Linked DNA regions of Arabidopsis thaliana. The protein of the gene in region 1 interacts with the protein of each later gene in a pairwise test. Each region holds a gene or a part of one and is shown on either strand. Other genes may lie near its edges.

Region 1 (3,757 bases):
TCCTGTCTAACAGACTCTATACTCACATTATGTTCAGCAGAGAGCTGAAGGGCAATAACCTCACCTGTCGCCTTCATAGCCCTTCCAAGAACTGCACGGGAATCCCCAACATTAGCTATGTAAAGCATCCCTCCGCATATAACACCCACCAAGCAGCAAGACCCAACCGCTGCAATCTGTGGCTTAGTTGGCCACTGCTTTGTCACAACCCCTAAAAAACCTTCTTCTGTCGCCTCATACGCCTTTTTAATTACATCCACCGACATAGAGGCCTGCTCTGCAGCAAATCCTGAAAATTCAAACAAGATTTTAGTTTCCGCACGGTTGGTTTGTAACCTGGTATGCATATATCATTCAGTTTCCTCACTCTTTAGATGCTGAAAAAGGTGATCATTAACAAATCGCGACGTCTCAGGCCCGCCATGGCCATCATAGATTCCAATAAAAGTTCCATAAGGACCAGAGTCAAGAGTACTCAAAGGCCCAGACTCAACTTGGCTCTGATCCTCAAGCAAGTTGTTGGCTTGAACAACAGCCATGGAGAATTCACCAACGAGGTGCTGACCAAAGTCTTTGTACCAAAGCAATCCATCTTGTTTTCCAGTTGAATCAGAGGACTTGCCCGAGGAAGAAGACGGCCACAGACAAGCACTCAAGAGTTTCATTAACGTTGATAACATCCCTCATTTCATCAAGACACCCCTTTTTTCCTCCACATCCGTCAAAGCGATGCACAGAAACAATCAAAGTCGAAAAAAGATTTAAGCTTTTAAGAATCTGCAATTCAAAACAGAATTAAAAGTAAGGATCTGAACAAAACAACAATTTTATAAGCTTAATAGAATCTGAAAACTCTCGACTTGGCTGAGCAAAAATGATATCAAAAACCCAACTTTAAACTAAAAAAACTGCAAACCCAATTGGTTAATGGATCAGATAAGCAAGAGGGAATAGTTTATTCAACAAGGATCAGATCAAAATCCAAACTTTTTCAAACTCTGAGAAAATTAGTACCTGAGAGATTCTGGAGTAGCTGATGTGTAAACAGGAAGAAGTCACTCGCAGACTTTTCACAAGTCAACTGATACACATCAAAGCAATTACAATCAGAGAAGCAATCTTATAATCCAAAAAAAGGATTTGAGGGTTTAGTGATTGAGAGAAAAGGTCGACAAATACAGGTATACGAAAAAAAGATGAAGATCTGAGAAAACAAATTGATGTAGAGAAAGAGAGAGTGATGGATCCGAATCAGATCCAGAAGAAAGAAGGAAGAAGAAGAAGTAGCGTCGACCTTCTCTCGGAGAGGAAGAAGGCAAAGGAGAAAAGAGAGAAGAGAGAAAGGAAAGGGCTCCACTGCTTCTAACCAGACAATCCAATCTCTCAAATTACTTACTGGATCAGATTTTCTAAACCTAACCCTTCTTTTCTCCTCTAATTGACTTTTCTTTCCTCTTTTTATTTACCCAAACGGTCCTTTATCTTTGTAATAACTTACAATTTATACCAAATAACTAATTCTGTTATCAATTAAACCCACAACTCCGAATTCGACGATTCCTTATAACTTGGAGAGGTAAAAAAAAAGTGTTGCAGATATAGACAAGTGTTTGTATTGGTAGATATATGTAGAAGAAAAAGATTGATAGTTAAAAAACCAAAAAAAAAAAGATATAGATAAAATGTGTGAGTGATAAGGGAGAGGGACACGTGATGAAATGAGATTAGAGAGAAAGGTTAGCTGGCGAAAGAAGACAGACATACGTGTGCAACTTCCACATCCAACTCCACCTGCACCTGACCTGCTCTTCTTTTCCCCTTCACTTCTCTCCCATGTGCCTTCCCTTTTCCTCACTTTCCTCCCATTTGCTCTCTGGCTCTTGAAAACAAAACGGGCCTTCTCTCTACTTATCACAAATTGGGCCTTTAGATATGTCTACTCGGCCTTATAACCAAGGGCAAAAAACGAGGGGGAGTAGTCAAGAACACCAACCCTACTTTCACTCTTCACCACGAAATAAAGACACCACATGTAAATTGATCACGTCTTTCTAAGTAATGTTTTGTCTGAGAATAACCAAACTTTGGCTTCACTCATCACTACACAATCCTTCAGTTTCTTCTTAAACGAACGATACATATTGTATATATAGATTTCAAACTAATTAATTACTACATTTCAGACTCCAGTTAACAAAGGATCAACATTTAAATAACTACATTGTTCTTTTGGATCGGATTAAGGGAATATAGAAAAGATGCAACATCATTCGGAAGTGAAGCAGCCTCTTTGCCCTAAGCCACGCCGTGTGTGTCATTCTCTTCCTGATTTCATCAAACCTCTCTCGTGTTCCTTACACTCCTCCACCTGGTAACATTACATGGTCTAGCTAGATTGTTTGTTTGTGTTTTTTATACATTTGGTGTAATTTGTGTTTGTGCTTTCCAAAAAGTTAAGAACATGATTCTTTTTGTTTGTAAACGTAAACACAAAAGTTTTTTTTATAACAATCGAAACTATATATCATTTTCTTCTTGTTTCTTGAAATTAATCATGATGATTCATTCATCATACATGTGTGTGCCTTAATCAGCCAACAAAGTAAGGAGGGAAGAAGCGACGTTCTCAGCATTATCGATAAGGTCGTCGTCATTCTTGCTTCTTTCATCATTTCTATTAGACATTTAATTTGTAGATTTCTTCCTTTTCAAAACAATAGTCCTTTTCATCTATTTTCTATGAAATTATCTAATTTATATATGAAAATTGGTAAAAATGTAAAATGATATATCAAAACTTAACTTTTTTGTGAGAATACTAAAACATAAACTTGTTTTAATTAATTTCTTAAAATATTTTTTCAAACTTGCATGCATGAATCGATCTTGGGTGTTATTTAAATATAAATGTTCATCGTGGTCGTAGGTGCAGCCGATAGAAGGTGGAACCATAGAGTCAATGTGGTACGTAGGGTCTCCACCAAGGAGAACCGGAAATCCTCTTGTACACGACCTTCATTTCATTCACTGCCTCCATCTTCTCCCCAATTTCTCAAGAACGAAGGCTTGATCATCACATCTTCTTAGACTAGCTACGTACCTCGTCTATACATATATATGAATGCATAGTAATTGCTTTTCAAACATTTTTTATTTTTAAAAGTTTTTCTCCAAGATATTCGTCTAATCTTCACATCTTGTACATGACTTGTGTTTCCTTTTATCTAATGTAGTTGTTCGTAGTATGTGTAAGTTCCAGAGTTCTACGTACTTTCTATCATTTTTGTTACTATAGTTTAAAATTAAAACTTATTTTCCGGAAAAAAAAAAGTTAAGAGAAAAGCAAATGATGGAATCAAGTGATTATTTTCATATCTGTTGAGATTAGAGATCAAAAGTTTATGATTCAGTCTAAGATCTACTAATTTAAAGAGAGAAACTTTTTTTTTCTCATACAATTAATTGAGATTCATCAAATATCAAAATTCAAAGCTGGCTGGATTAAGAAGAAGAATTTGATCTGGGTCCCATATATACATGACACGTGTACAAAAACTTATCAATAGTCAACGTTTCTATTTTCAAATAATTGTATCATATTTGCAATTCGATCTCTCTTATCTCTATATTATGACAAATTCACCCCATTGTTTTCCGTACAGATTTAAACAATATTGTTACCAATTGCCTAATGTACACCGGGCTGCACCAAACCGATAACAAACATCCCTCCACGTCTCTAGTCACATTTCCACCA
Region 2 (3,242 bases), on another chromosome or scaffold:
CATGTTTTTTTTTGGGATCAAACTATAGAATATACATTAGTACTCTAAAATACCAAAAGAAACATGCATATATGTATATTCAGCGTAACAGATACGTATCAATAAATCATTGAAGAAAGGGATCGGATCCAGTCCACATCAACCCTAACTAGTGCGTGTCTCTATAGTTTTCCTTTTTGGGCAATGTATACTTGTCTTTATTATTTGGAAGGAGAAAGCAATGTTATTTATAGAATAAAATACAAACAGAAGTTTGGAATTCAAAAGTAAATTTCTTTTCCTTTTTGCTTGACAATATCTTGAAAACTATAATCAAATGTCACTGGAGACATCAACTAAATGTAACCCCCACACTATACGTAAGAGCCAGCCACTGATAAATTGTGTAAGTTAAAAGTGGTCATTTGTTATTTGTTTCCGTCTAATTCAGAGTAGCAAACAAATACTAAAACCGGATCTGAAATTCTCGGTTAGAGTAACAAGAATCCCGAACCGGGGGTAGTGCATCAAAAGGCAAAAATTGGAAATAAGCAGGTAAAACAAAAAGATATCCGGAATAAAGTTCGGGGGATTGAACCCGACGTGAATCGAACACGCAACCTTCTGATCTGGAGTCAGACGCGCTACCATTGCGCCACGGATCCGGATGTTAGATGTTCCACTTAATTGTTTTTAATCAACATGAAACTATAATTAGAGTAGTTTTTTGATTGATGAATTTGGTGTCGTCTTTCTTTTTCAATGAGCGATCAAAAATGTATTGACATGAAGTTTGTATATAACATTAATTTTGTATTTCACTTTCTACACTTTTAGAACAACTCTTTCAAGAAGAAAGAGAAAAAAGCTCATGTATTTACAATGAATAAGTCTATTTCTAACTGAAGGAAAAAATGTTGGATCATCTTCATTGGAGCCGAGAAGTCACATTGATGAAAGTATCTTCGGGACAAGGGATCGTTAAGCCACCCATCGGATGAGCAAACCCAAACTCTTCTTCGGATTTACTGAGCAGAGCTTGAAATGACGGTTGGCTCAAGTATGAGAGCGGCACCAAATATCTCTTCTTCTGGCTCTCTCCTACGTACACCGCAAGAAACCCTTTTGGTGCCGCAGATCCTGCTGCGGTGGAGCGGCTTAGAATCTTCTTTGCTCCCAATAGACTTCTCACGAAAGCCATTTTTATTTTATTTTAAATAAAAGAAGTTTGAATTATTATGAAGCTCTTGAAGATGTATGAAAAGATTCAAGTTATTGGAATGCTTGTTGTTGGTTGATGATAGAAATAATGGGGTTATGGGTGTATATATAGAAATATCAATGAACGATTTGAAACTTCTCTGAAAAAGTCATTGAAACTGTGGTCTTGAAGCGTGGGACAGACTAGAGCAAGAGTTCACATGGTTCTGTCTTTACCATCTGGAAAAGATGCATTAATGAAATTTATCTACTTAAATAATCTCCATGTGAAATTTCACAAGGGCTTGCTTTCTCAATGTTTCTGAGATAAGACGTGCCCTATATTTGCAAGAACAAAGACAGCAGGTTCTGTGATGATTAGGTGGTTGGTTCTTTGTCCTATAGTACTCTAATCTCTGCAGTCGAAATGGATTTATTAAGAAGTTAAAGTGGGGACCTGAATGTTATTCAACAACAGAACAACAATTCAATGTCACTCTCTAGTTGTTCTTTGATTATATCCACACATGAAAACTAAAAGAGACTGAATACCTCACTTCTTCTCTTCATTTATTATACAGACATGGAGAAGACAGACCCTTGTGAAGTGATGATAATGCTCATTAGCTTCCGTTGTCAACTTGTCATCTATCATACCTAAAAAACAGAACCATGTGAAACTATCTTTGTGTATGTCTCACCCCTACTTTGAATGGTTTCAGGGTGATTTGAAGTCTTTTATCAATCTATTTATACATCCAGAGACAGAACCAACTCTTCACCAAGTAGTGAAGCAATCCAGACCTCAAAATTTTGAGCATCTAACTTTTTCTCAGAAGCTTCAAATTTAGATTTTCCAGACTCAAGAAATGGCTTTGTTCAGAGGCCTCTTGAGTTCAAAGAAGATTATCGGCTTTTCTGTAGAGGCTACAAGCAAAAGGACAGTTTCAACACCTATTTTATGTAAAACTATTATTTTATGAAAATCTATATTTGGAATATAACCAAAAATGTATATCAATATGATCCTGCATAGTAAAGACACTCACTTAATAACCAATTTTTTTTCACTTTCTCACATCTTAGAATTGATGTTTTGAGAGTTTCGTATACTACAAGAAACCCTTTTTAGCACTCCCTGAGCGAATTTAAAAGCCTCTCGGAAATCTTCTGAAACTTGTGGATGTAAGAGTGGACACATAAGAAGAGAGTTTAGATGGTTTTGTCGTCCAGATGCTAACGTGATAAATGAATGTGGATACAAAAGACGAGCAACGATAAGCTAAACTAGACTTCATGAGGGTTTGAGTTCGCTACATTTGCTTGTGGTTCTTGGTTGTGATTTCTCTGGTTGCTTTTGTCGTACGTCCTGATCTTAATATTTGAAGAAGGAGACGTGGCTCACTTGACAAATGCTAGGAACAGACCAGTCTCGGGTTTTACGGATCTTATGCAATAGTCTGCATGCAGTATCCAGTATCCACATTAATTGTTCTATAACATGTTATGATAGTAAAACCATAGGAATGATCACAAATCATGACAAGAAAAGCCTAAGGAAATCAAAGAAGCTTAATATCGCATAAGTGATTAATAGCATTGAGCCATTAATGATCTTACAACAACAAGAGTCTCTCAATGTTATTTGGGAAAACATCGAGATCATTGAGAGAATCGAGTCTGAGCCCTTTAAGTCGTCTATATAGGTCATTTGCAATTCCTTTAATTTTGGTTACTCTAATACTCTTTCTCTTTGGATCAAAATACACCACATGGAAGGATTCATACACACTCATTGGCGTATAAACAAACTCACCAGCATCAGTAACACCCTTCAAAATTAAACACGCCCATTCTTTGTCAGACAGAGGAAAATTCAAAGACATAAAGAGACATATTTCAACACCAACGGCCATGGAACAAGGCCACCTACACCATCATCTTCACAACCTTGAGCTTCTCCAAAACATTTCTCATTGGATCTCATGATAAAAAGCCAGAGAAGTAATAAGCAAATGGCTGGCAAGTTCTGTTCTTGATTGTGATTCTCTGCTTGATTTTGT

Evidence for each region. The genes of interacting proteins can lie anywhere in the genome.
Region 2: the proteins of AT3G51370 (region 1) and SAUR19 interact in a two-hybrid assay, tested with the Arabidopsis thaliana proteins (one study listed by BioGRID).

What each region holds. Positions count from the first base shown.
Region 1 is NC_003074.8:19,066,977-19,070,733, reverse strand, and holds the start of AT3G51370 (Protein phosphatase 2C family protein), read right to left. Parts: upstream 1,608-3,757; 5' UTR 1,015-1,607; intron 778-1,014; 5' UTR 681-777; coding exon 368-680; exon of another isoform or gene 348-367; coding exon of another isoform or gene 290-347; coding exon 1-289. UniProt on the Arabidopsis thaliana protein: May dephosphorylate and repress plasma membrane H(+)-ATPases (PM H(+)-ATPases, e.g. AHA1 and AHA2), thus influencing negatively plant growth and fitness.
Region 2 is NC_003076.8:5,962,126-5,965,367, forward strand, and holds SAUR19 (SAUR-like auxin-responsive protein family), read right to left. Parts: upstream 1,281-3,242; 5' UTR 1,181-1,280; coding exon 908-1,180; 3' UTR 648-907; downstream 1-647. UniProt on the Arabidopsis thaliana protein: Provide a mechanistic link between auxin and plasma membrane H(+)-ATPases (PM H(+)-ATPases, e.g.